Lepisosteus oculatus: one gene and its partners. The protein of the gene in region 1 binds, or shares a complex with, the protein of each later gene. Links are inferred from orthologs where the notes say so. Each region holds a gene or a part of one and is shown in the gene's direction. Other genes may lie near its edges.

Region 1 (7,774 bases):
AGAGCCGTAGAAGGTCTTGCCATGGCTAGAATATCATCTGTCACCCTAAAGGCAAACAGAAACCACATTCCATGACTACTATACAACAGAGGTCTTTTTAGATCATTTTGTAATGCTTATTTCAGTGTTCCAAGGTTATACAAATAGTAACATGCAAAATCAATATTTATTTTTCCATCGTAAAAGGATGATAGCTGTACTGAAATAAGTAATGCCAGCTGTTTCTTAAAATAATAGAGAAAAGCACTGTACAGCTGAAATTACTCACTCAGGCATGTGCCTTGAACATCTTGCTGTTCCTCAGAGACTTTAATGAGGAAGCAAATCAATGAAATGTGATTCTCCCCTATTGATTTATATGCATAGTACTCAGCAGGGCACAAGTTTGGCGTCACTAACACAGTTGTCTACATTTACGATGAACTCAACAAAACTGCAAAGCACTGTTTACCATTATAACTACACAAACGTTTCTACAGTGAAAGGCCAGTTAATTATTACAAATCAGGTGGATACTGATCATAAAGAAGGAAAATAAGCATATTGAATTCTACCATGTGGAAAAGACACCCCGTATGGCCTGCTGTCTCAACGTCCAGGTTGCTGGTCCCTCATAACGACAATCTTTTCCTCTGCAGGTCAGAGCGCAGATAAGATTTGGGGGCATGGTTTTGACAAGGTTCTCTCGGGCCTGGGAATAGGAGGGCCGGGGCCCAGGAATACACAGGGCCATTCCTGGTGTGCAGGCGGATGTGAATGGACAGGCTTTGTCTGAACAGCAATTAAGGCGGAGTGCAGCCAACCGAAAAGTTCGTCTGGTAATGAACATATTAAAGAAATGTAGAATTAGGTATATGCCCAGGACAGCAAACAGCAACATTAAGCAGCAGAGTTGTGACAATAAAGTGTATAAATCCTGAAATACATAAAGACCATCTTAGAAAAAAGATTCTAAGCAAAAGTATTACATTAAATTATGTTAAAATATTAATTGATGTCTTTAAAGTCTTGTTTCTAGTGCAGACAAGATCATGAATCTTCACACTAAAGTGAATATTGACAATCTTTATGACTGTTAAAATGATATAAAAATTGCATCACTTACCATTATTGCGTCACATTTTGAAATAATTAAAGCAACATAAAAATCAAATCTGTTCAAATCCCCAATAGGCTCTAGTGTATTAGAGCTAGAAATGTACATAGGGCTGCTTCTCTCACTGCCTTTGTGGTTGCTTATTCTGACCTACATCCACTAATCCCTGTTATTAATTCCATAAACACATTAAGACACAGAGGACCGGGGCTTGTAATATTCTTTGTTATATAACTGGGCTCCAGACCAAACACACCTTTATTCTAAACTGAGCCATGACTGAAAAGTTCAGAAACACTCTAAATTAGACAAATTGTCCTTCGGGATCAACAAAGACTTATCTTATCTTATCTTAAATTGCCAGACAGTGTGCAACAAATATTTTATTTAGGAAATCAGTGCCGAATTATTGACACTCTTGATAAACAGGACCATATTAATTCCTTCCTGTGTTTTTCTTGGTTTTCAGGCTTGACATTCAATAGGATAAATAATTTCATCACCTGTCACCACTCAACTTTCTCTGCTGATGCAACAAAGTCATCAGCATTATAGTCATGAATGATCAATTAATCAAATTTCAGAAATCCATGTTTTATTTTTATTAAAAACATACATGCATAATTAGTGTGATGTTATGCTTGCTGCTTAATATATAATATTTCGCCTTTGTATATGAGGAATCTATGAGCACGTACATAATGATACAATTCCCACTTGCATTCATAACCTGGACTGTTTTAGTACATGACTGATTACATTGATGCACACAGTACAGTGAGGTATGAAGATAACAACAGTACCCATTGTTGAGCACGGAGAGGGTTGTAAATATGGTAGCTCCTGTCAACATCCATCCATTTCCTAATCCCTTCTTTCAGTTCAGGGTCGGAGGGGAGCCAGAGCCTATCCTGGCAATAAAAAGGGCGCGGGCAGGATAGATCTTGGACAGGACACCAGAGCATCACAGGGCCGACAAAAACAGACACAGACACGCACACACTCACTCCAGGACCAAGTTTCCCAGGAATGAATTAACCTACAGGTTCATCTTAGGACTCTTCAAGGAAACCCACACAAACACAGAGAGGTGTTCCCCATGTAGATAGCACCCCAGATATGATATATTTAATCTTTTATTCTTACAGGTAAGGGAAATGAGAACAAATACTTATTTGCAGCGATGTCTTGAGCACTCATTTATACAGCAGTACGTATACTAGAGTAATTTAATGGAAGTATCTTGCTCATGGACACAACAGCAGTGTCTGGACAGGAGATGTCCATGATGTCCATGTCCATGAAGAAAAACATTCTGAATACAAGATATCTGCAAAGTTCAAACACTGAGTGAAAAGGCTTGACCCATTTGGCCGATACACTGAATCACCTACAGTATGCATGCCAAACCGATCAGCATATACAGTACTATAGCTGTCAAGGAATGTTTGATTGGTAAGGCTGAATTCATCTCTGAACATCTACAGTATGTGAGCCTACAGAAAACTTCAGCATAAGGTTCACCAGCCATAGCCTTTAAATGTGTCCCATAGCCCTGAACCCAACATCACAGTGACCCACTTTACAGTATAGGCAACACAGCAACAGAACTGCTTGCCTCTAAACTCTGGAGTGGTGCAGTCTTCTTTCTACCTTACTGCAGTAAAGATGGAAAATGTCTTTAACCTCATATAAAAGACATGACTTTTAAGACATTGTGAGATGCAATAGGATATGATTCAGGTCATTTTGGATTGCGATATGTATTAAAGATAAAATTATTTTACAGTGTTGTATTATTAGTACTAATAAATGTGAGTCTCGAAATGTAATACATTTAATGGTGCATAGACTGTCAATGTGATGACAAAATGTTTTGTGTTCTGATGTGTAGCAGTGAAGATGATGAGATGAAGTGCATTTATATTAAGTGTACACTAAAATATGTATCTGTTATAATGTTATTTAATGTTATGTATAAAGTTGTTTGAAAGACATCATTTCAATACTAAAACATAAAATTCTTAATCTCTACTCATATTTGTACTCAATCCTGCTACTGTACTTTATGAAGTAATTGTACTTGTGCTTCAGTATCAGTTCCAAGTATGGTCCCAGGACGTCTCTGTAATCTACTGCAATCTATGCACTTTACTGCTTTGTGATTTTTTATTAAAGCAATAAAAATAAACAGTACAAATAATGAAAAAAAATGTGCGCTTTGTGTCCACTGGAGGTCAGCAGAGATTTAGTAGTACTGTAAAGCAGCACACATAAAGGTAAATACGTGCTGGTTAATATCACAGATTGTATTAAAAATTAGCTATATGGTTTAAGTGAGAGGCTTTAAATAAAATTCTTAAAATTCTAACTATTGGACTGGATTTCCCAAAAGGAGTTTTATTAAGTGTATGGTTCATTAATAATAATAATAATAATAATAATAATAATAATAATAATAATAATAATGGACACTCAGTGGGGATGAGTAAAGAGTGACGCAAACAATGAACGGATCGGAAAACATAAGCCCAGAGTGGACAGGAGGCGGGAGTGGACACCCAGGTGGTGTGAAATCAAGAGAGGTGAAGAGAGGCGTGAAGTCAAAACCTGCAACTGAATAGAGAGGAATAGAAGGAAACGAGTCTGTAACTGAGAGAAGGAGGAACGTATGATGCTAGATTCAGGATAATTTTGATTTTGGATGTCTTCCTGCAATAGGAGTTCCGAAACCCTTCTTTGAGAACGCAGATGGAGAGACCGTGACGATCACAGCCGTGAGAAGTAAAATGAGAAACTATGTTCTTGGAGATATCTTTGATCTTCACAGCCCTGACATGTTCCCTGAAGCGGTCTCCCAGTCTCCTTCCTGTTTCCCCAATGTAGATAGCTGGGCATTTTCTGCAAGAGATGCAGTAAATAAGGTTGCTGGAGGTACAAGATGTCTTCTGAGTGATCTGGAATTGTCCAGAAGGGCCTTGGGGCGAGAGAGAGTAAGGGAATAGCTGTGAGGAAAAATAAAATAATGAACACTAATTGGAATATTTCATTTCCGTTAGCACAGGGTGTTCTCTCAGATTTTAAAATTGAAAGGCATCAGTGCGCCAGGATAATCTCTCGTTCAGGATACCGCAATCCAGTTTAAGGCTTTCCTTGATATTATTAGCATTAGAGGTTGTGCCAGTAGTATTAACCCACCAACTCATGTTTCTAAATGCTTCGATATTAGTCTCAACTTTTTGGAGTTGAGACCAGTTACATTCAACCAGAACTCTTTCAGAACAAGATGTTTGATTTTTAAGAACTGAAAACAAGACGTTCATCTTTATTGACGTAATTTACTGCATGATCCTGTATCTTCGAATCAGTAAGACCAGCCTGATGGACAGTTATAAGATGCGCAAGTTGTAAAGCCAGTTCTGTTCACACTGTAGCCAAAGTCTGATTGAATACAGACTAAAACTGTGCATTTCTGGAAAAAGTGCATTATAAATTTGGAGAGGTCGGAACAGCGGCACTCTTGAACACGGGTATTTCTATTGCTCATTTTCGTGGAGTTATACGGTTAAGTTTAATGGCCGCATTGAGAGGACTGGCCGTAGAATTGACCAATAAAAAATAAGACCTGCGTCTCAATGCTCAATGTGGATTGACAGCAAAGTTGTCCAATGAACATTACAAATTCAGGAAGTACCGTTTTTCGAGTCAGACGACACGTGACAAGATCATATGATCATTATCACAGCGGAGTCGAGCTGTGAATGTTTTTCTTTTGATTGAACATGGTGAGTATTCCTTTAAAACAAGAAAAGTAATACGGATGAATACTCAAAATAATATAAATATTTTGCGTTTCTGTACTATTTTGTGCTGATAACAAACGAACATGATACCAAATATATAATAAGAAGTAATGAAATATCAGACTTTTATTAAAAATACTGTCCGAAGAAGATAAACATAGTCTTTATTGCAAATGCGATTATATATGACAATTAGTATCCACTCTGGTCTGGTTAAACGAAAGTACGTGCTTTAACTTTGGGGGCTGTTATCTCATGATCATAGGCCTGTTTAGCTGAAGACAGAATGAATTGGTTAAGGATCGTGCACCAGAATTATCAGACCCTTAATCTTTTGTAAAGTATTTTCTTAAGGATAGTATTTTTAAAAAAACGAAATATTCACTTCTGAGATATTTTTGTGTTTATAGATACATTGCGTTAGGGCTACACACTACTTTCCTCCCGAAGGCTTTGTAACCTACTTTGATTCCTACGCCTTTAAAGTAACTACCCTCTTTTTTTCCCCGGTAGTTAATGCCATTGAGTTTTCAGGAGTCCAAGAAGATGGGCGGGACGCCATCACATGCACATAGTTAAAGAACAACATATTTAACCTAGGAAATTATTAAAATCGTAGTTTTTTTGTGTAAGTGCATCTGGTCATAGCAAGTAAGCTTCTTGCCTGTAAAGTAACAGGTGTGATTCGTAAGCTTTACAACAGGATTCAAGTTTCCCAAACCATTATGTCTGCATAGATTTAACTTTAAAATTTAAGAAAATGAAGGAAGTTAAGAAAATTTTCGTAACAACAATGTTAAATATCTTCCCGAACGTGGGTCTTTTTTATTTTGAAAGAGTCACGTGGTAATGCCCTCTCCCTCTGCGGGACATAATGTGACTAAATGTCGTTCGTAGAGTAACGTTTAATCAAAAACGGTTTTATTTTGTAGGTAGTTTTCCCTAACTTGTGGTACACGGTAAAGACGTTTCTAGGAAACCATTTTTGTTTTCGACAGGGAATGAGATTTATGTTGAGCTCCAGATAGATTTAATTGAACTGTCCCCCACAGTGTCCGTGGTATTCTACTAAGAACGTAATGCTTTGTAAAAATGTGAAAAGAAGTTGTTACAAGACTATTTTTGTTATGGCAAGGACAGCCTCCTGTATTAACATTGAAGGGTCAAGTTCTCCTTTTCCCTGTTATCACAATACTGACAGGAAAGATGTCTCTGCTGTGTTTCAGACAACAGCTTTGACTCAAGGGCTGGAGAGAATCCCAGACCAGCTGGGCTACCTGGTCATCAGTGAAGATGGAGTCCTTGCTGTGAGTAAACACCATACTTTTACAATAAAGAAGGTGGCTGGGATTTAGACAGGAAGGACAGGAGGTGCAGGAAGGAGTGAGCTATGGAGACAAAGGAGGGTCTCCTTCATCATAATAATCATTCCAATAGTTTCTGGAGAAGCCCAGAATTGAATTGAGTTTATAACAACAATTCTGGAGGGATGACGACAACTGAGGTCAATCAGACTTACTCTCTTACTCTCTGACATCACTTACTCTCCTGAAACACTGTAAGGGGCGGAGTGGTGGCACTGTAGCTAAGGATCTGAGCTTGTGCCCAGAGGGTTGCTGGTTCAAATTCTGTAGCCGGCAGAGGAATCCTACTCTATTCGGCCCCTGAGCAAGGCCCTTAACCCCAACTGCTCCAGGGGCACTATACAATGGCTGACCCCAAGCTTCTCTCCCTGTCTGTGTGTCTCATGGAGAGCAAGCTGGATTATGCAAATATACAAGAATACACAATTTAATAATGCAAGAAATTGTATATGTATAATAAAGTGATCTTATCTTACCTTAAATACTGTATGTGATCTTGCTTATATCTTTTGCATCCCACCTCCACCTCGTCTCCACCTCTGCAGCTGCCCCTTGGTCACTCCTCGCTCTGTGTGGGGTCCCAGCCTCCTCTTCCTATGGATAAGAGGTCAGCCCTCAGCCAGACCGGTTAAACCAAATTCTGACTGAACACTCCATAATCCTTAATATCTTGGGTGTTGTTACTGCTAGTGCACTGGGACCTAAACATACATCGTTGTGTTGTCTGGTTGAGCTTGGCATTCCTTTTGCCCACTTCCTCCACTAGTGTGGGGCAAAGCTGCCACAGGTTGGTTTGTCTCCTTCAGTAACCTCCTACAAGCACCGTATGGCTAATTAAGACTTTCTCCCCCCTAGTCTGCCGGTGAGATGGAGAACGACGAGCATGCGGCGGGGGTGATCATGCAGATGGTGCAGACAGCCTGCAAGTTTAAGCTGCAGGGCAGCACAGAGCCCCCCTTCAAGCGCATGTCAGGTCAGTTTAGACGTGCTCTACCTCTTAACCGGTGCTGGTAAACACTGAGCATCCATTTCAGCTTGTGTCAGGTTTGGCGTTACACTCACTCGTCTTTTTCATTGAGCTGGGCGGCTTTGCCTCGAATGTTAGAATTTTTTTTCCCTCCCGCAAGTATTTGCCAATTAAAAGGCATTAAGAAACGATCCTGCCTATCATTTCTCCCAGAAAACAGTACAGCAGATTTGATAGTAATGCTAATGGATAGAACAGTACACAGGGTTACCAGAGGTTTAGGAATCCCACACAGTGAAGTTTGTTGATACAAACAGCAGGTGGGGATATGTGTTTAGGAATTGTAGATATGTCTTGTCTTGTTTTTACCTTTTCTCCTCTCCTGTCTTTATCTAGTGGTGTTTGAGGATCATGTCTTCATGGTGACCGTGTCTGGGCAGAAGGTCTTTGTGGTGAAACGGCAGAACAACCAGCGAGAGCCAGTTAACGTCTAGAGGTGTGAGGGTGGACCCGACGCTGCCCAGAGATGCCTTTTCTCCAAGCA
Region 2 (6,962 bases), on another chromosome or scaffold:
AGGTGGAGAGAATGCAGAAATTCCATTCCAACAAAATCATTCCAACAGCCAATTTTAAAGGTGTATTTTTGAAAAAAATCATTAAACATTACATGCACAGAGATTTCTGTGCATGTACACAGATTATTTTGTGTTTTGTTTAATTTTTAAGTCTTTTAAACAGCGAGCTGTCTTATCTCACCCAAAGCACTGACCACAAGAACTGTGGTATAAAGAATGCTTACTCAAATTGTATTATTCAACTCTGTGGTTGTTACCTGCCATATTATTACATGCATAAATATTAAACCAATGAATTGTCATAGTAGAGTTAGCACATAACATCCTTTTTTTCAAATTTGGTCAACAGTCATGTTGATCTTGTCATGGCCATTCTCTTACCAATTGCCAATCTCCAGACTATCTGGAGTGCACATAACTGACCACTAGGTGGTAGCCAAAGGCAGTTTTCAGGTTTTCCAATTCTCATTTGGGATGGGGTATAATAATAATAATAATAATAATTGCTTACACTTATATAGTGCTTTTCTGGACACTCCACTCAAAGCGCTTTACAGGTAATGGGGATCCCCTCCACCACCACCAGTGTGCAGCCCCACCTGGATGATGTGACGGCAGCTATAGTGCGGCAGAACGCTCCCCACACACCAGCTCTCAGTGGGGAGGAGAGCAGAGTAATGAAGCCAATTCAGACATGGGGTTATTAGGAGGCCATGATTGGTAAGGGGCAATGGGAAATTTGGCCAAGACGCCGGGGTTACACCCCTACTCTTTTCGAGAAACACCCTGGGATTTTTAATGACCATAGAGAGTCAGGACCTCGGTTTTACGTCTCATCTGAAGGACGACGCCTGTTTACAGTACAGTGTTATATGTTAGTGTACCTTTTATGCCACGAAAGACAATGCACATAACAGTATACGTGTGTTTATGTGTTTTCCTCTGGTCACTTGTGTTCTCAGTTATTTCTATGGTTTTGTGCCCGATCAAATAGAAATATGTTTGGTAGAATAGTCAACTTATGTCAACTTACTTAAAAAGAGTACCAGTAGTGAGAAGCCTCACAGAGCACTTTATTTTAGTAAGAAAATAAGATTTTCTATTGCTTGATTATGAGCTTTATTGTGAGATATTGTGGAGTTACCATGAATGCAGAACTAAAAGAATTAATCCTTCTTAACCCAAAGACGTTGGGTACTGTCCTGTTAATCCGTTTGGACTGCAGCGACAGAAAAGGGAAAATTTCAGCTGTCACTTCTGACGGGTGGAACTACTCCAGGTGTTTGATTTTCTCCAGTCCAGGTCATTCAAGTTTCTGTTGAACTACAGTTTAGCCAAGATCTATCTCTTGGGCGGGTGCCCTGAAATCCCTTGCAATGTGATACTCTTAAAAGCCGATGAAGTCTCTTCCTCATTTAGTGGTAGCATACGTTTAAGGTCACAGACTGCAGGGTACAGTTGTCAAGTATCGAGCTGGTTTTTCCATTATAGAGTTCTGGGGGAGCATATTCCAATAAAAAACAGACGCAAGGCTGGATACCTCCTGGACGAAATGCCGGTCCGTCACAGGGCAGACTAACGCAAGTACAAACTCACACCAGGGCCAGTTTTCCCAGAAGTCAATTAACCCACCAGCATGTCTTTGGCCTGAGGGAGGAAACCCACATGAACATGAGGAGAACATCCGAACTCCACACAGACAGGACCCCAGGGCCCCAGTGCTGTGAGGACATCTACATGCCTGTGTTTCTTGTTGCCAAGACGCATGATTCCTGACTAAAGAAAGTATACGTATTCAACTTGAATAAACTGTTCAAGTTTGATTAATCCTTTGTCTTTTTGTTATGGTGGACAAAAAATGCCAATGACAATGTAAAGAGATTTAAGAGGGCGCTGGGCCTGTATACCCTGTGTGGTCTGTGGAGTAACATCTGCCAGCCTCTGGGATTCTGCAGGAGGGACACGGCACCTTCTTCCAGGAGAAAGGAAGTCAACTCGCTCCTAGTGGACAGAGGTGAAAACCCGTCTCAAGCATTGTCATATTACCAGCAGCCATATCACTCTGCAACTCACAGCTAACAACCCCCTGAATCTCAGCAGGTGTGAGCCTGGTCAGTACCTCGATGGGAGACTCCTGGGAAAAACTAAGGTTGCTGCTGGAAGAGGTGTTAGTGGGGCCAGCAAGGGGTGCTCACCCTGCGGTCAATGTGGGTCCTAATGCCCCAGTATAGTGATGGGGACACTATACTATAAACAGGCGCCGTCCTTAGGATGAGTCGTAAAACTGAGGTCCTGACTCTCTATGGTCATTTAAAATCCTAGGCCACTTCTCGAAAAGAGTAGGGGTGTAACCCTGGTGGCCTGGCCAAATTTCCCATTGGCCCTTACCAATCATGGCCTCCTAATAATCCCCATCTATGAATTGGCTTCATTACTCTGCTCTCCTCCCCACTGATAGCTGATGTGTGGTGAGCGTTCTGGCGCACTATGGCTGCCGTCGCATCATCCAGGTGGGGCTGCACACTGGTGGTGGTGGAGGGGATCCCCATTACCTGTAAAGCGCTTTATTATTATTATTATTATTATTATTATTAAATATGCTGTAAATGCTCGATTGGGTGCAGAACTGGTGACTGAGGTGGCCATAATATATGAATAACATCAGCGTCAGGCTTATCAAGCTACTGGGTGTCCACACTTGCTCTGTCATCCTGGACAGCTCTTCTCCCAGCAGGAAAGACGTGCTTGGAGGGACGATGATCGCTCGGGACCTTGAGGCAGTGATCCGCATTGGTCTTCTAGGTTAACGAGTGTCCTCCCACAACATTAACCCCTAGAACCCGTCTCTGCCCCCTTGATTCTCTGCCCGCCTGTCGATAGGTGGGATGTGCTGAGGTTGGCAGACTTTGTTGAATAACGCAGAAATGACTCTTCGCCTGCCTTTCTTGGGGGTGTGTATGGTAACTGACCCCGATCCCCAACAGACTCTGGAGCTCGGACTGTGCTACTGTGCAGACTAGCGAAGGCCAGGGGCTTCTCCTGAGACACCTAGGCTTCAGACACAGACTGTGACTATTCTAAAAACAGGTGAAACTAATGCAGCTACTCTACACACAAATATGGAGGGAGAGGTATTAGACACATAACAGGTGAACTTTTTTCTATGTTAACGCTCGTCTGTGTATAATGATGATAATGAGAAGTACAGTATTTTAAACATTTCCGAGGCGAGGTTATCTGGAAAACTATACATCACACCGACAGTAATAACATGCCTAGACTTGTTTATCTTATCTTCGAGTACAATAACAACTTGAACAGGTTTTCGTACTACGTATTTCAAGACTTTATCGTAAAACAAAGCTAATTGTAATATCTAAATCATAAGCTTATCTACTTAAAACCTTTAACCACATTACAAGGCTTTTCCTTCTGCTTTTCGCTTCAGACTTTTGTCAATTAAATCTGCGTGTTACTGTCCGTAACGTGAGGGCATTGTAATGTATACTGCTAACCAAGTCCCAGGTGTTTAGTATGATGCAGTATTTTGTGAGTTGTATCAAGGGGAAGGTGATGGGGGTTGATTTTACAAGGGTAAACCCCACTAGAAAAGGCCGTACTCCCAGGCAGAGGAGAAACACAGATACTGTACTTAATTTCGGGTACTGTACTGAGTTAAAGGTACTACAGTTTTTTGTTTGCGCCTCAAACTAAACGGACACGACACAAAAGTAGACGGGGCCACCTGGTATTTATAAGTCCGCTGTACGTGCCTTACGCCGGATAAAATCTGTCCGCGATACAAACTGAACCGCTGTTTAATGGAACTGTTAAAGTTTTGTGAAAACTACAATCGAGACGTGTGCACAGGACGCTACCGCGTCGCAAAAGGAAACTACAATTCCCAGAACCGCAGTGGACTCGAGACGTAAACAGGAAGTGACTTCCGGAATGTTCAGTCAGCTGACGGAGTGGTGCTTTCCGCGAGGATACTGTATATTTTGGAGAGTACAAGTATTGTAGTTATTTAGATTTAATACTTGATTTCTTCGTATTCTTTTTTCCAACCATGCTGCGACCAAAGGCACTGACTCAAGTTCTGAGCCAGGCGAATACAAGCGGCGTTCAGAGTACACTGTGAGTAATGATGAAGGCTATAATAACCACGTTTCCACCTGATATTTTCACTGATGCGGACTGTTCTGCTATAAAATATATTTGACTGGGTGGGAGATAACCTACACTTAACGCAGCTGTCGAACAAAATTCGTGGGTAACCTGCGTGGGAAGCGGTAACGAGTTTCCCAATCTGAGCTGCCTTCGCCTCTCTTGCAGAAAAAGCTCGTATTTGGTCTCCAGTAACATCAGGAACAGCAGGAACTTCCCCTTAGCGGCAACGGCACGTTTACAATGCCAGCGCGACTCAATAAGGTGGCAGTTGGTATATAGGCTTTCTCGGAAGGCTGAACTGCATTGTGCGATAGTAAAAAAAACGTATGATAAAATACTCAGCGTGAGTACCCGAAGAAGAACGTGTCTCTGCAACATCCTGAAATAACCAAATGAAGATCAATAATTAATTAATTCACTTTAAATAATGTATACAGCATTTTAAAAAAATATATTTTTACGGCCACGTAGTGATTAATTTTCTATGTATTCGTACACGTTTTTACCTGAATCCCAGGTTTAACTTCTAATTTCATAACATCTAGCACATCAGTCTGTCAATGTATCTGGTATAACGCTCTTCACAGCGCTTTGCCACAGATTATTTTACAGATTTCTATGGCAGTATAACTAGTTTGGGAAAAGTATTCAACTAGCAATAATCGCGCCTCGGGCCAAACCTCATATACTGCGATACAGCCACTGTGCAAAGCTGTAACTGACCATCGGACACAGAGGAGAGGAACTCAGAAACTCAGAAACTGGCAGTGGGAAGAGATAAGCCTCCGGGGGTCCCCGGGCAGTGAGTTTGGGGTGCAGTAATGATAGATAGATAATACTTTATAAATTGATGAAAGTCACATACAGAGGGGGCACCCAGATTTGAACTGGGGACCTCTTGATCTGCAGTCAAATGCTCTACCACTGAGCTATACCCCCATAAAAAAGGAGACCCTTCCCTGACCGGGAATCGAACCCGGGCCGCAGCGGTGAGAGCGCCGAACCCTAACCACTAGACCAGCGGGGAGACGATGCTGCCTGGGGACCCCCGGAGCCTTATCTCTTCCCACTGCCAGTTTCTGAGTTTCTGAGTTCCTCTCCTCTGTGTCCGATGGTCAGTTACAGCTTTGCACAGTGGCTGTATCGCAGTATATGAGGTTTGGCCCGAGGCGTGATTATTGCTAGTTGAATACTAATGATGATGTATTGTGAGCAGTTTCCCCAAAGCCCAGGGCTGATATCCTGTTCTCTGGAACATCATGGTCGTCACGGTTATCCGAGTGAGCTAGCTGTGGTTCCCTGGGTCTGTTGTCATGGTAATCCAGGACTGCAGGGGAACCGGAGTCTATCCTGGTAATCAACGGGCGCAAAGCATCCCTGGGCGGGATGCCAGTCCATCACAGGGCAGATACACACTCGCACACAGAGCCAGTTCTTCCAATTAATCCACCAGCATGCCTTTTCACTGTGGGAGCAAACCACAGCACCTGGAGGAACATGCAAACTCCTCACAGACAGCACCCCCAGTACTATGAGGCAGGAGTGCTTACCTCCACAGCACCGTGCCTCCTACAGACTGTGCCTTCAACACTTACTTTGGAAACTCAGTGGAGCCAGCCTGGAATAAGAGGAGGGCTCCAGCAGTCCGTTAGAGACTTGATGATGGTGACTTTCCCTCTGCTCCTTTCCCCAGCCTGCTGAATAACGAAGGCTCCCTTCTGGCCTACTCCGGCTACGGGGACACAGATGCCCGCGTGACCGCCGCCATCGCCAGCAACATCTGGGCAGCGTACGACAAGAACGGGCACCAGGCCTTCAACGAGGACAAGCTGAAGTTCATCCTCATGGACTGCATGGTGAGCCGCTGCACTTCCCCGCGTCCCCACCAGGGGTCGACTGTTCCACTCCTCCAGTGCTTCGGCAGACTGCTTACTGCTGCAAGGAGTCAGAGTGGACCAACCACGAACACTGACCACAGGCAGTCTAGAGGACTATAGCATCATCACCTCTCAGTAGTTCAAGTGGGGAGCTGCGTCAGCATGCGTAGTCTGCAAAGGAACAAGTAATCGTTTATTCCAGGCTGAGAAGAAAGGAAACACAAGTTTCCCACTGTGGACCCGAAGAAGGCTCCACCGTGGAAACGTGTTTCTTTTCTTCTCTTTTCAGCATGGAATAAACCTTTACTTGTTCCTCATCACCTCTTAGCCCTCTTTTCTGAGATATCGGAAGCTGATCAAGGCCGAACCTGGACTGCACTGGCATGGGAGGACTGCAGGAATAGCAGTTTGCTAGTGTAAGCGGTGTTGGTAGTAGGTGGTGCTTTTCTCCCTGGGACAGGATTTCCAAGACAGTGTCTCAGCATAGTGACGGGGGGCGCTGTGCTGTAGGACAGGGGCTCCCAGTCCTGCTCCTGGTGGACCACATACCCGATGATTTCTGTTCCCAGCCGAGCCCTCAGTTCCACAGCTGAACTCTTAATGGATGTATTAATATCGATTCATTCATTTTTATATTTAGATTTAATTTGACTGGTTTCAGCTCTAAACATTTTGGAGGTTACGTTTTAACTACTGTACCGCATTTCGTAAGTAAAATCCCCAACTTTTGAGTAGGAAACTCAATGGCAAATAATCAGATCGCTCAGGTAAGTTGTTAGTACAGTGGAGGGTTGAGTGCAGGAGCTACGCTGGGCTGCCGTGGGTGTGTGGGTCTCCAGCAGCTGAGCTTTGAAGCCCTACTCTTCGGATGAGACTTTAAACCTCGTTCTTCACCGCTTGATCTTTCAAGTTCTC
Region 3 (7,709 bases), on another chromosome or scaffold:
TGCTGTAGTGTCCAGTCAGTCAGTCAGGGTCACTGTGCTGTAGTGTCCAGTCAGTCAGTCAGGGTCACTGTGCTGTAGTGTCCAGTCAGTCAGTCAGTGTCTCTGTGCTGTAGTGTCCAGTCAGTCAGTCAGGGTCACTGTGCTGTAGTGTCCAGTCAGTCAGTGTCTGTGCTGTAGTGTCCAGTCAGTCAGTGTCTGTGCTGTAGTGTCCAGTCAGTCAGTGTCTGTGCTGTAGTGTCCAGTCAGTCAGTCAGTGTCTCTGTGCTGTAGTGTCCAGTCAGTCAGTGTCTCTGTGCTGTAGTGTCCAGTCAGTCAGGGTCACTGTGCTGACCAGTGTCTCTCTGTGTCTCAGGACTATGTGGACTCTCTGAAGGGCCTGTGCTATGATGGGATGGAGGGGCTGCTGTATCTGTGTCTCTATTCCTTGCTGTCTGCTGTGTCCTTCACCACTCTGCTCTGCTCCCTGCCCGGCGCCTGGAGGGGCTTCTCCAGGTCAGGGCGTCCGCGGCTCTGCCTGTCATCGCTGTGCTAGACTAGAGCTCCTCGATCTCGTCAGGCATTCAATTGTTATTAAAACTCCTGCTTCAGGGGTGTTCTTCATAAACTTCTTTCTCTGTCTTTTCCCACCTGGCAGCGACTCGGACAACTATGAAGACTCCGACAGTGAGAGCGAGGACCCCTTTCCTTCTCACCAGGCACGTAGACAGACGCCCGCGGGCTCCCAGCGCGGTGTCCTACCTGGTTTCTATAGTTACCAGGGGGCCAGCTGGGCTCCGCCCTTTTCCAGCGCACCCCCCCTCCCGTGAGTAACAGACAGGCAGACCGACACGCACACACACCACTACACACAAACGTTAGACGCACACAACGACACACGCACTGATACATGCACACACACACTATCTGACACGTACACACAGACTGACACACAAATACACAAATTCACAGATACAGAGACTCAAACACACACACAGAGACACAGACAGCTACACATACACACACAGATACAGACACTGTTTGCCTGGTCAGAGGGTGTGAAAATACTACTGAGGCAGTGGGTCAGTCAGTCAGTCTGTCTGTCTGTACTTTCCTCTGATTTAATGACAGACAGACAGAAATGATGCTTCATTTCAATAGGATTAGGAATGATCTCAACCCAGTCTCCTCTCTCAGTGCAGTGTTCATGTACTGGAGTGTCCAGTCAGTGTGTCTGTATTAACCCCTCTCTCTCAGTGCAGTGTTCATGTACTGGAGTGTCCAGTCAGTGTGTCTGTATTAACCCCTCTCTCTCAGTGCAGTGTTAATGTACTGGAGTGTCCAGTCAGTATGTCTGTATTAACCCCTCTCTCTCTCAGTGCAGTGTTCATGTACTGGAGTGTCCAGTCAGTGTGTCTGTATTAACCCCTCTCTCTCAGTGCAGTGTTAATGTACTGGAGTGTCCAGTCAGTGTGTCTGTATGAACCCCTCTCTCTCAGTGCAGTGTTCATGTACTGGAGTGTCCAGTCAGTGTGTCTGTATGAACCCCTCTCTCTCAGTGCAGTGTTCATGTACTGGAGTGTCCAGTCAGTGTGTCTGTATGAACCCCTCTCTCTCTCAGTGCAGTGTTCATGTACTGGAGTGTCCAGTCAGTGTGTCTGTATGAACCCCTCTCTCTCTCTCAGTGCAGTGTTCATGTACTGGAGTGTCCAGTCAGTGTGTCTGTATGAACCCCTCTCTCTCTCAGTGCAGCGTTCATGTACTGGAGTGTCCAGTCAGTGTGTCTGTATGAACCCCTCTCTCTCTCAGTGCAGTGTTCATGTACTGGAGTGTCCAGTCAGTGTGTGTGTATGAACCCCTCTCTCTCTCAGTGCAGTGTTAATGTACTGGAGTGTCCTGTGTGTCTGTATTAACCCCTCTCTCTCTCTCAGGACTCCAAGCACTTCCTCCAATGGCAATCCTGGATATGAGAGCCTCCCCTTGATTGACAGGCAGTCCCCGCCCCCCTCGGTGAGGCTCCCATTCTGGTGGCAGGTGGTTACTCTCCTGAACGGATTGACAGAATCCTTCTCTAATTGGAGAGTAGTCACCTGAAGTCCTTTTCATCTGTAAAGCCCAGTCGCTTAGTCTCGGGGATCATTCATAACATGAATCTTCATCTTGCTTTTACTTGAGTAACTCCTTTTATTTTGTTTCTTTCCTTTCATTCCTGGGGCACCCCTCTTGGATTTCCGCAATGGATCGCTCCGACTCCGCCCTCTCCTCTGTCTGCGGGTGGCCCCGCCCCTCCCTCTCTCTGATTGGACAGTATTCACCGAGCATGATGACTGGCTATGGAGGCAGCCAATCGAACTCGAACCCCACCTACTCCCAGATCCTCTCTTTACACTGAAGGTCCTGTCCTTGTCCTGTCCTCTCGTCTGGCCAGAGGCTGTGACCGTGTTTGTAAATGACGGGTTTAATTATAAAACTGCTGGGCTGGTGGAGGGAGCAGAGTCACTCCATTTCATCAGACAGACTGTGACCAGAGTGCATACTGGTCAGCCTGACTGGGACAGGAGTGGACACTGGTCAGTATGACTGGGTCAGGAGTCAACAGCGGGCAGTCTGACTGGGACAGGAGTGGACACTGGTCAGTCTGACTGGGTCAGGAGTCAACAGCGGGCAGTCTGACTGGAACAGGAGTGCACACTGGTCAGTATGACTGGGACAGGAGTGGACACTGGTCAGTTTGACTGGGTCAGGAGTCAACAGCGGGCAGTCTGACTGGGACAGGAGTGGACACTGGTCAGTATGACTGGGTCAGGAGTCAACAGCGGGCAGTCTGACTGGGACAGGAGTGGACACTGGTCAGTATGACTGGGTCAGGAGTCAACAGCGGGCAGTCTGACTGGGACAGGAGTGGACACTGGTCAGTCTGACTGGGTCAGGAGTCAACAGCGGGCAGTCTGACTGGGACAGGAGTGGACACTGGTCAGTTTGAACGTGGCAGGAGTGGGCACTGATCAGTCTGACTGGGACAGGAGTGGACAGCAGGCAGCCTGACTGGGGCAGGGGTGGACAGTGGACAGGAGTGGACAGTGGTCAGCTGTAAGTGAGACGAGAGTGGCGCTGCTCCTGTTTGATGTTTGTGTCACCAGGGTGTCCTCCTGACTGCACAACACACCCAGCCTTTTCTCCTGTTAGCCTTCTAATGAGCTTTTATAAAGAGGGACCGAGCACTGTCAGACCTGATAAGGGATCTGTACCCTTGTTTATCACTGTGTATTCATAGCAATAAAACTCTAGCTGCGCTCCTGACACTACAGGTGCTACTTCTGCTTAATTAATTGTGTTATTAATTATTATTCTTCTTCTGCTGTACTCTCCCCGGAGCCGCTGCGGTCTCTGCAGGCGTCCGGGCGGGGGACAGCGCCCCGCGCTGCGCAGGCGGGCCAGTGTCACTGCAGCTCTGAGGTGTGGGGGAGCTGGTGGACTGTGTTTCCAGATGACGACCCTGTATTGTCCCCTCTCCTGCCTCTAATAAAGTCGATCTCTGCCAGACTGGGGTCTGTGTCCCGTGTGTGTGAGGCTGTGGGGGTCATTACACAGGGGCCGTCAGCACAGACACACGTCAGTACACACAGGTACAAACACATCGCTACACTGACAGACACACGTCAGTACACACAGGTACAAACACATCGCTACACTGACAGACACACGTCAGTACACACAGGTACAAACACATCAATACACTCACAGACACACGTCAGTACACACAGATACAAACACATCGCTACCCTCACAGACACACGTCAGTACACACAGATACAAACACATCGCTACACTCACAGACACACGTCAGTACACACAGGTACAAACACATCGCTACACTCACAGACACACGTCAGTACACACAGATACAAACACATCGCTACACTGACAGACACATGTCAGTACACACAGATACAAACACATCGCTACACTCACAGACACACGTCAGTACACACAGATACAAACACATCGCTACACTGACAGACAGACATCACTACATACAGATACAAACACATCGCTACACTGACAGACAGACATCACTACATACAGATACAAACACATCGCTACACTCACAGACACACGTCAGTACACACAGGTACAAACACATCGCTACCCTCACAGACACACGTCAGTACACACAGGTACAAACACATCGCTACCCTCACAGACACACGTCAGTACACACAGATACAAACACATCGCTACACTGACAGACAGACATCACTACATACAGATACAAACACATCGCTACACTCACTGACACACATCAGGAGATGCTCTATGAAACGTATGGTTACACACACTGATACACAAACACGTGCCCTGTCTCTGTGGGGAAATGAAAATGTGTGTGACTGATACACGTATTGCATAATGTACAGTACAAAACTGTACACAATGTACACACTACACACTGAACACACTGCCGCCTGTACAATCAGCGCATGAAAGATAATCTCCAATAAAACGCGCTCTCGGTCATGGTGACCTTAAAATGAAACGCGCTTCCTTTTACCTGTAATTACAGAAGTGAACTAAATATCATTTCGTGCAACTGATGCGTTTCCTTCGTGCAGAAAAGGTGGATTTATGTATCTTGGAATCGGTCAGGGTAGCTGTTGTTTTGCTGTTTTTTAGAGGTGAAAATCTTTGAAGAACTACGGTAATTTGAGAGCATGACGTCAGAATCATGCGCCTCGAATCACATGACAGCAGAGGCGAAGGGTCTGTTGTGCTGACAGTGGACGGAGACCTGTCGTTATCTTAACTGTCGCTCGAAATATTTTTAGCGTTGCTGTCAGCTCTCGCAGTATCGGCGGTAGCAGCAGTCGAGGTAGTTCTAGGTCTTGCTACGAGACAGACATCAAACTCTTTGTAGTTTACTTAAGTAAACACCGCCAGGCTCAGCGCAGAGAAGGTAAGACTTCGTCAATAATGTCCTCAGTTATACGATTGATCCTGACAAGCAAGTAGTGTGTAGTCGAATTAAATCGCCTGTCATATGATTTCAGTGTATTCTAAGAGCTGTCCTGGACTCCAGGTGTGTGTGTGTGTGTACAGTGTGTCCAGTAAGAGTCTGGACTCCAGGTGTGTGTGTATACAGTGTGTCCAGTAAGAGTCTGGACTCCAGGTGTGTGTGTGTGTGTGTGTGTGTGTGTGTGTGTGTACAGTCTGTACAGTGTGACCAGTAAGAGTCTGGACTCCAGGTGTGTGTGTGTATACAGTGTGTCCAGTAAGAGTCTGGACTCCAGGTGTGTGTGTGTGTGTGTGTGTGTGTGTGTGTGTGTACAGTCTGTACAGTGTGACCAGTAAGAGTCTGGACTCCAGGTGTGTGTGTGCATACAGTGTGTCCAGTAAGAGTCTGGACTCCAGGTGTGTACAGTGTGTACAGTGTGTCCAGTAAGAGTCTGGACTCCAGGTGTGTGTGTGTGTGTACAGTGTGTCCAGTAAGAGTCTGGACTCCAGGTGTGTGTGTGTATACAGTGTGTCCAGTAAGAGTCTGGACTCCAGGTGTGTGTGTGTGTGTATACAGTGTGTCCAGTAAGAGTCTGGACTCCAGGTGTGTGTGTGTGTGTGTGTATACAGTGTGTCCAGTAAGAGTCTGGACTCCAGGTGTGTGTGTGTGTATACAGTGTGTCCAGTAAGAGTCTGGACTCCAGGTGTGTGTGTGTGTATACAGTATGTCCAGTAAGAGTCTGGACTCCAGGTGTGTGTGTGTGTGTACAGTGTGTCCAGTAAGAGTCTGGACTCCAGGTGTGTGTGTGTGTGTGTATACAGTGTGTCCAGTAAGAGTCTGGACTCCAGGTGTGTGTGTGTATACAGTGTGTCCAGTAAGAGTCTGGACTCCAGGTGTGTGTGTATACAGTGTGTCCAGTAAGAGTCTGGACTCCAGGTGTGTGTATGTATACAGTGTGTCCAGTAAGAGTCTGGACTCCAGGTGTGTGTGTGTATACAGTGTGTCCAGTAAGAGTCTGGACTCCAGGTGTGTGTGTGTGTGTATACAGTGTGTCCAGTAAGAGTCTGGACTCCAGGTGTGTGTGTGTATACAGTGTGTCCAGTAAGAGTCTGGGCTCCAGGTGTGTGTGTGTGTGTACAGTGTGTCCAGTAAGAGTCTGGACTCCAGGTGTGTGTGTGTGTGTACAGTGTGTCCAGTAAGAGTCTGGGCTCCAGGTGTGTGTGTGTATACAGTGTGTCCAGTAAGAGTCTGGGCTCCAGGTGTGTGTGTGTGTGTACAGTGTGTCCAGTAAGAGTCTGGACTCCAGGTGTGTGTGTGTGTGTGTACAGTGTGTCCAGTAAGAGTCTGGACTCCAGGTGTGTGTGTGTGTGTGTATACAGTGTGTCCAGTAAGAGTCTGGACTCTAGGTGTGTGTGTATACAGTGTGTCCAGTAAGAGTCTGGACTCCAGGTGTGTGTGTGTGTGTGTATACAGTGTGTCCAGTAAGAGTCTGGACTCTAGGTGTGTGTGTATACAGTGTGTCCAGTAAGAGTCTGGACTCCAGGTGTGTGTGTGTGTATACAGTGTGTCCAGTAAGAGTCTGGGCTCCAGGTGTGTGTGTGTGTGTACAGTGTGTCCAGTAAGAGTCTGGACTCCAGGTGTGTGTGTGTGTGTACAGTGTGTCCAGTAAGAGTCTGGGCTCCAGGTGTGTGTGTGTATACACTGTGTCCAGTAAGAGTCTGGACTCCAGGTGTGTGTGTGTGTGTACAGTGTGTCCAGTAAGAGTCTGGACTCCAGGTGTGTGTGTGTGTGTACAGTGTGTCCAGTAAGAGTCTGGACTCCAGGTGTGTGTGTGTGTGTGTATACAGTGTGTCCAGTAAGAGTCTGGACTCTAGGTGTGTGTGTATACAGTGTGTCCAGTAAGAGTCTGGACTCCAGGTGTGTGTGTGTGTGTACAGTGTGTCCAGTAAGAGTCTGGACTCCAGGTGTGTGTGTGTGTATACAGTGTGTCCAGTAAGAGTCTGGACTCTAGGTGTGTGTGTATACAGTGTGTCCAGTAAGAGTCTGGACTCCAGGTGTGTGTGTGTATACAGTGTGTCCAGTAAGAGTCTGGACTCCAGGTGTGTGTGTGTGTGTGTGTGTGTGTATACAGTGTGTCCAGTAAGAGTCTGGACTCCAGGTGTGTGTGTGTTTATACAGTGTGTCCAGTAAGAGTCTGGACTCCAGGTGTGTGTGTGTGTGTGTATACAGTGTGTCCAGTAAGAGTCTGGACTCCAGGTGTGTGTGTGTATACAGTGTGTCCAGTAAGAGTCTGGACTCCAGGTGTGTGTTTGTATACAGTGTGTCCAGTAAGAGTCTGGACTCCAGGTGTGTGTGTGTATACAGTGTGTCCAGTAAGAGTCTGGACTCCAGGTGTGTGTGTGTGTATACAGTGTGTCCAGTAAGAGTCTGGACTCCAGGTGTGTGTGTGTGTGTGTGTGTGTGTGTGTATACAGTGTGTCCAGTAAGAGTCTGGACTCCAGGTGTGTGTGTGTGTTTATACAGTGTGTCCAGTAAGAGTCTGGACTCCAGGTGTGTGTGTGTGTGTGTATACAGTGTGTCCAGTAAGAGTCTGGACTCCAGGTGTGTGTGTGTGTATACAGTGTGTCCAGTAAGAGTCTGGACTCCAGGTGTGTGTGTGTGTACAGTGTGTCCAGTAAGAGTCTGGACTCCAGGTGTGTGTGTGTGTTTATACAGTGTGTCCAGTAAGAGTCTGGACTCC
Region 4 (7,221 bases), on another chromosome or scaffold:
ACTTTCTGGTACTTCTGTGGGGCTCAGGAAGCCCTGTGTTCTGAAAAATGTTGCATTTGTTTTCAAAAAGGAACAAGTAAAGGTTTATTCCACACTGAAGAGAGTGAGACACCTGAAGAAGGGTCTGCAACCAAAACTTTGTTTCTTTTCTTCGCTTTTCAGCATGGAATAAACCTTTACTTGTTCCTTTGCAGCCTATGCATGCTGACGCAGCTACCTACTTGAACTATTTTTTCAGTTTTCCATCTAACAGTAAAGAAGAAACTAAGAAGGACAGGATGACATTCCCTATGAATCTTTTTACCCTCAGCAGCACCTAAGATGATAAGTACAGTAGCTATTAAGCTTGTCCATATCTCATCTTAATATGTATTCAATCAGTTTATGCATACTAATTCAGTTATAATGCGCACTCTAACACCCTAAAATATGGCCTTATGGTCACTTATGGCTCATTTCAGCTTTATGTCTCCATTCTAAGTTTAATTCTGTATATCCTTCTGTCTGAAATAATTAAACCAGTTCTTACTTTCAAACCGAGGACTTAGTCAAACAGTTCATAACTATCATTTAAAGATGGTATGTAATGCAATGTGATACAGATTGAAAGATTGTGTACTTGGATTGAAAGATTGTGTGCTTGGATGAAGAAGTTTAAGAAGTCAAGACATTTAAGAACTTTACATCTCCTCAGTGAGTTCCCCTCATCACAGTGAACACTGGTACCGCTATTTCGAGTGCTTGTTAACTGTGCTTTCTTTATAATTACAGAAATGAGCTGTGCTACTCTTCAGATCAGTCAAAGGGTGTTAGCTGTGATTATGAAAGCAAAAAAACACTGCAAGAAATCCTACAAAATTAAGGTTATAGGGAAAGTTGATTGTTGGTTGGTATCTACTGTACAGTACTTCCACACAAATATGGGTCCTATCCAAAACAACACAGGAAGGTATGCTGAACAAGGTGTGACAGAAGAGAGTGGTAAGCCTAAACCAGAGAGAGAGAATACAAGGTTTCCTGAAAGAAAATTAAATCAAGGAAGAGTTTTCCAAAAATCTGCAAAGAAGAATGTAGATCCTCTAGATAGAATGTGAAATCAAGACGTTCTGCAAGAGGTAGGTTGTGTTTTCTTTAGGCCATTATACTGTGAGAACATTACAAGGTGAATGGGATTGGTTGAGTACAGTCTTGAAGGCTGAGACCCACAAGCCCAGGGTCAAGAGTTAAATGTGTATACCTCAGACCAAATCTGGGTACCCCCGGTCCTGGAGGACCTCAGCTCTTAATTTCTTAATTAAACCATTTTTTTATTTGAACAAATTAATCGTTGTTTCCCGATTTTGGATCGGTGGTGATTTAATGAGATCTACAAAATCACAAGCTAGGAACACAAGGGCTATTACGATGATTTGGGTTTCTAGTAGGTCGCATGGGACTTCAGACACTTTCTCAAAAGGCAATGCTCTCTCATCATCTGGGGTCTTCTGTCCTTTTCCCTCAGGAAAACTGCAATAAAACAAAACTGGAGTAGAAGAATAAGGCAACTCATTAAGAAAACGAGTTGTGGTTGACTTTTCACATCTTTACCAAATGTTGGATGCCGTTGATGTTGATTAAATAATGCCTGGAGATCACATTGTTTGCTATATTTGTTAAGTACAGATCCAGGTAGAACAGACAGACAAAAACACCTCACATCGCAGACTACAGGGCTCAAATGTTTCTTGCCAAAACGTACAGAAGAGTTGTCTTTCTTTTTTTCTGAGGAAGAGCAGCAGCACTATTGCCGGTATAAACATTTTCATGATGTATGAGTGTTGTCTGGAATGAGCTCTTACTTTGAAATACTCAAATCATTGAGCTGAGAACACAGATGATGCTCCCTGGAGGCTGAAGCCAAGCCAAAGAGCTGAGAATCTCCTCAAGGGACAAGTCCAGGAGAACATAACTGTGGTGTAGGTGCTGTGGGGCCATTTCCAAATTGGAGCATATAAAAAGAATGAATTAATTAACTATGACTTTTGCTTTTCTCATTTGTTTTCACATTTCTCTAGTTCCCACATGGTGCTGGGGCAGAAACTTCACTTTCAGTTGAGCTGGTGACAAAGAAGGTGCAAGAGACAAAATGTATGGGAACAAATGAGGACAGTTAGATGTACAGTTTGAGTGTTATTTTTAGCAAGTATTTTGGAAATAACATTGCATAACCGTTTTAATATTTTTTATATTATTCAGTGAATGAAAAGATAAATTGTGCCTGAATAAGAAGGCAGGTTAATCAGATTCCTCTACTTCAAACAAAGGCTTGAAAGCTTATTTTAGGAAAACTTTGTGTATATAGAAATAACATGTACATTTGAAAAGAATAAAAATGTTTCGACTGTAATTTGTTTTGCTATTCGAATAATACTAAATTTGTTTCTGTGGACACATTTTCATGTAAAAAACTCGTAGATATTAATTAAAAAAGGATTTTTTTATTGTTATACATTTTGTACATCTATACTTTTTATATTGAGATTAAAACTGAGATTAAACAAAACTGTCTTCAATTTCGCACACTTTGCAAATCATACACCACTGTCTGGTGTTGAATGCGGATGAGCTAAATGATAGTCTTTCTGTGTTTCGGTAGAGGGCAGTGTTGCCTTTAATGAGGATCATTTTCTTTAAAGGTGTTAAGAACTACCTGCGCATGGTAAACATTTTGTGTTGAAGTTATGAGATGGAAATTGGTCACTAGTGTTAAGTGAACACTTAAAGAACTTTTTCAGCTAAGCATCATGCTTGGGTGTATATTTTATTGTAACCAGTGAAGAGCAAGATGCACAGATGTGCTGAGTTTTATTAACCTAAGAGCCAACAGATTTCATGTAGCAGCAGGATGTCATATTCATCTGAATTATAAAGTGAACAAGCACTGACTGACTAGAAAATCGAATAGAATAGAATTTCAATCAGATGTTTAAAATGGATCCATCACCTAAAATTAATGTAATCTTTTTGAACTTCTATAAAGAGGAAACGTTTATTTGAACAGGATTTCGGACTTTGACTGTTGCTTTTGTATACATAAATCTGAACACAGTTCATCCATTCATCCAGCAACAGGCACAAGAAAGGATATGCCCTGCACAACACTCCAGTCCATTGAAGGGCACACAAACTCTCACCTACAGTAGGGCCAATTCTCCCAGAAGCCACTCAACCTAGCAGAAAGGTTTTGAGCTGTGGGAGGAAATTAGAGCACATAAAAGAAACCCATGCAAACATGATGAGAACATACAAACTCCACACAGACAGTACCCCAGGTCAGGCATTAAACCCAGACTCCCAGCACTGCATGAGAGCAATGCTAACCATTGCACCACCATGCTGCCAGAATGCAGTCTCGTGCAATCTTATTATTCCAATGTTAGGTCATTTTATAAAGAAGTGGTCACTCAAATTTCAAGATGTTACTAACTTTGCTTGTGTAGTTTTAGCTGAAAATGACTAAAGAAAGTCATAGGTTTTTCTACCTTGCTTTTCTTATTTTAAGTATTTATCTACAGTACTGATGTGCAACAAGCTCTGCATTTACAGTACTCCTCTACAGATGTAAGAGAAAATAGATTGATACAATGACATTTGAAGACTCATTTTGTGTAATGGCTATCTTTTTTAGCGTGATTTTTGTTCTGAATTTACTTATTTTAAATATGCCTTTTCTAGTGAGTTATCACACCTGTTTAATGAAAACAATTTCGTTGTATAAAGCTTTTTATTTAGCAAATGTAATTGATTGAAATATGCTATAAAGGTATTTCCCCCAAACCATTACATTAGATTTGTCTAATTTTAAATAAGATTAGTTTCAACATTTTTTTCCTGTTACGTAATGAACCTATAGCAATGCTTGGTATTATTTAATTAAGGAAAGTGCATTCTGTAGTAAAAGACTCATGCATTCAATGTATCACCTTAAGATGTAAATTGAAACGTCGTATATTTAAGTTTAACGTGTGGTTTTGATAATTTCTGTACAGTTCTGTAAATGTTTCCTAGCCACACGCCAAAATATCAACACAGCAATTCTGTCGACCACGTGGTGCTCTGCCAAAAATAACAGCCAATCGCGTAATTGAAAACCATGAAGGTGCAGTATTGTCCAATCAGAAAAATCGAGTTGTGTTTCCTAGCAGCTTGTGTGACTAATGCCTGTCATATGACTCTGACACAAATGGAGTTAGTTTCAAGGAACTAGGTGTGCTTGTGGATTGATAAGAAAGAGAATTTTTGTACCAAAGTATTTGGTACAAAATGCCTCCTACGCTTTTTCAAAAACTTTTTAATAAAAGAAATGCCTTTTCGCCTCCTCCGAAGTGTGCAAAAGACGAGCAGACATTCAGGTACGTGACATAACAAATGGTCTTGGTTTTAATACCGTGCCATGGTATGGCTTCTGTTTGTATCAAGATAACGTAAGTTTCAACGTGGTTGCTCTTTGTTTTTGACAACATCGTGATTATGATTGCAAAAAGAAGAATAGAGCCGTATGTTTTTTGGACTCTTTTGTTTCTGGGTTACGCATTCGCTACATTAAAATATGGAATGTGAGATTTTTACAGAATTCAAGTTTACTTTTTGGGGTGTTGACATTTGTTTGGGTAAGGTGGTGCATAGAGTCGGAATGACGAACTGGGATGCAGCCTGTTCGGGGAGCAAGTTATATGATTAAGTACCGTGTTTAAAAACGCTATTAACTATTACAAATCCATTGCAATCGGTCACCCCCCTTACTGTAAACCATTGACGAATGTAAAATTCACTCATCTCTCGAATGACGACAGGGCGTCTGACTCAATTATATACAGTATACCGCAACAAAAAACGCGTGGGTTTGTGTGAGGTCAGTAAAGCTAAAATTCATATCCTCCCCTCTCACACCCTATTAATATTAAAGATTTGATGTTTTAGAACACCATTTATAGTCGGCACTGCTTGCATGTATTTATTGTACAGTATATAGGCTGTGCATTGTATTTATTTGAGATATTCTTACAGTCCAGAACTGTGCTGTGCAGTATGTCTGATACATATTTTGTAAGTATAGCTTATCATGCTCTTAAAATTGCATTGAGTGAAAAGTACAGTATATGATGCATGCAAGTGTTCACCGCAGTCGTACAGTACTTTAAAAAGATTGGTATGAAAAGGGTAGAACAGATTATGGGTCTTTCACAACTTTTCTGGGTTGAAGACCACTGTCTGAGAAGCCCCTCTCAGGAAAGTCCCCCAATTTAAATAATCTGAATTCTACAATAATTATCGGTAATATAGCATTGGATATTAAAACCAAAAATGCATGTCTTCGTGAGGGACCTTTTAGTTAAAATAGACACGTACAGTATGTGACAGGATTCCTGCGCGTTGCAGAGTGAAACTTTTTCGTTTTGCTGTATCATGAATCACAAGACACATTTCCTAACACGACCGCTATCTATTGCAAAAATGAAAACTGTCATTTTTTTGAGGTTATATTTCTTTTTGTTAGGTATTGCTTTGTGTTACAAATTAAAACATTTTCTTAAGATTTTTTTTAGGAGAATGCATTTTTTCTAGTCCCCTGCTTTGTTAGGACAATATACTGATTATGTTAATATTTGTAGAAGATATGCACTGAGAGAAGTAATATTAGGTCCAGTTGTGTTCATGTGGTTACTGGTATCTTATTGATCTGAGATAAATTAAGTTTTTCATTGAATGATCCCATAGAATTTTCATCACTATTCATAGTTGATATTTTAATCTTGCTGGAGTGCTCTTTTGTTCACATTTTTATTAAGAAGAAAATAGATTCTCGTATTTGTCATGGGGTTCTACAATGTGCCAGAATAGTGTCTCTGGCTGTTTAATGAAGAAGGATCAAATAAAACTTGATTTTGTTGAGGTTTTTTGTTTTATCCAAGTCTTTGGGCCATACCTCTGCATTCATCAGTATTTGTGTTATTTTGTATGAAATTAAATATTATTTTTAGGTTTGTTTTGATATCTTCAATTGAAGTAGGATGTTTGTTTTATCCTTTTTTAATGAAAGGGAGGCTTAATAAATTGAGCTGTGAGACCTTATGTTCATGAGATTTGATATACTCTTTTTTTAGGCATTTTAATAGGGACATTCCTAGAGAATTGATAATCTTTAATTGGAATCCTCTCACATATTCTCTAGAAGTCTGTGCAATTGAACTTGAAAGCGTAAATTAGCAAATTCCATATTAAAGATGCCTTACACCTAACCATACAGAAAAATATGCAGCATTTTTACTTAAAAACAGGATTGGAATCACAACTGCATTCATTCAGTACCTCTTCTGATGTATTTATGACATCATTGAGTTCCCAGTGGTTTCACAGACCTTAATTATCACTAATCCTGGACTACCTGATGTTAATTTGGCTAGCGAGTCCAGGGTTTTCACAAATTAGGGTCTGCAAAATGAGTCCGTAATGCACAACACATCTCTGTGGCCTTGCACATCAGGTCATTCCACATTTCTTTTGTGGGTGATGATTTTATAATGCGTATTAGAATCTGATCAGTACAAAAGTGACTAATGAACTTTGTGATTATGTAATCTAGTTGTGTAGTAGGACGAGGTCACATCTGAGGAAAGAGTAAACTCCAGAAAGTTTTCTCTTTTAAAGGAGGGGGTTTCATTGATTTTGGCTCCTATTTTTTGTCACTAATGGTGGACACTTAACTAAAGTCTTTCATAATATAAACTGAACTATGTGCCAGCATGCTGTGTGTGCTAATCACAAGCACATGGAATGGGCCCTTTATAAATACACTTCACCTTTCTGCTGCGGTCAATTATAGGTAAAAATGCTATAAATTATAGCTATAAAAATGCTTTACCTGCATTAATGTACGTCACTCAGTCTGGGTTAGAATCCATTCCTGACCTTTGGGCTTGACCGAATTTTTTATTCCTGAAACTAAAGTTTCATTCAGTCAAACATAAATGATCAAGTAAGTGTTTAAATATCTTTAATATTGTTGTTGTTTCTATATCTTAATTCTATATTATCTGAGATTCTGTAAGAAATCTGGAATGCTTCTGCTTCATGGCGCATGTAAAAAAGAATTGTAACTTTTAAGTGGGGGGTTGGTTTTTCACATTTTTTACAAAGCTAAAGGATTTGAAAAAATGGTGTTGGCTGTTAGGGATTTGTAAC

Evidence for each region.
Region 2: lamtor4 (region 1) and lamtor2 share a complex: the UniProt entries of both Homo sapiens proteins name them as parts of the ragulator complex. The link is inferred for Lepisosteus oculatus from reciprocal best matches to the Homo sapiens genes LAMTOR4 and LAMTOR2.
Region 3: lamtor4 (region 1) and flcn share a complex: the UniProt entries of both Homo sapiens proteins name them as parts of the lysosomal folliculin complex. The link is inferred for Lepisosteus oculatus from reciprocal best matches to the Homo sapiens genes LAMTOR4 and FLCN.
Region 4: lamtor4 (region 1) and fnip1 share a complex: the UniProt entries of both Homo sapiens proteins name them as parts of the lysosomal folliculin complex. The link is inferred for Lepisosteus oculatus from reciprocal best matches to the Homo sapiens genes LAMTOR4 and FNIP1.

The regions. Positions count from the first base shown.
Region 1 is NC_090702.1:13,159,895-13,167,668, reverse strand, and holds the start of lamtor4 (ragulator complex protein LAMTOR4), read left to right. Parts: upstream 1-4,773; 5' UTR 4,774-4,878; coding exon 4,879-4,881; intron 4,882-6,125; coding exon 6,126-6,206; intron 6,207-7,118; coding exon 7,119-7,236; intron 7,237-7,626; coding exon 7,627-7,724; 3' UTR 7,725-7,774. Other genes in the region: protein tyrosine phosphatase domain-containing protein 1, read right to left, coding at 1-45, 555-733. UniProt on the Homo sapiens protein: As part of the Ragulator complex it is involved in amino acid sensing and activation of mTORC1, a signaling complex promoting cell growth in response to growth factors, energy levels, and amino acids.
Region 2 is NC_090722.1:3,023,011-3,029,972, forward strand, and holds the start of lamtor2 (ragulator complex protein LAMTOR2), read left to right. Parts: upstream 1-3,940; 5' UTR 3,941-4,069; coding exon 4,070-4,137; intron 4,138-4,743; exon of another isoform or gene 4,744-4,884; intron 4,885-5,037; exon of another isoform or gene 5,038-5,109; intron 5,110-5,293; exon of another isoform or gene 5,294-5,376; intron 5,377-5,863; coding exon 5,864-6,026; intron 6,027-6,962. UniProt on the Homo sapiens protein: As part of the Ragulator complex it is involved in amino acid sensing and activation of mTORC1, a signaling complex promoting cell growth in response to growth factors, energy levels, and amino acids.
Region 3 is NC_090718.1:1,063,142-1,070,850, forward strand, and holds the start of flcn (folliculin), read left to right. Parts: upstream 1-4,700; 5' UTR 4,701-4,930; intron 4,931-7,709. Other genes in the region: ttyh1 (protein tweety homolog 1), read left to right, coding at 353-492, 635-802, 1,908-1,986, 2,285-2,368. UniProt on the Homo sapiens protein: Multi-functional protein, involved in both the cellular response to amino acid availability and in the regulation of glycolysis.
Region 4 is NC_090706.1:24,570,910-24,578,130, reverse strand, and holds the start of fnip1 (folliculin-interacting protein 1), read left to right. Parts: upstream 1-4,220; 5' UTR 4,221-4,302; coding exon 4,303-4,391; intron 4,392-7,221. UniProt on the Homo sapiens protein: Binding partner of the GTPase-activating protein FLCN: involved in the cellular response to amino acid availability by regulating the non-canonical mTORC1 signaling cascade controlling the MiT/TFE factors TFEB and TFE3.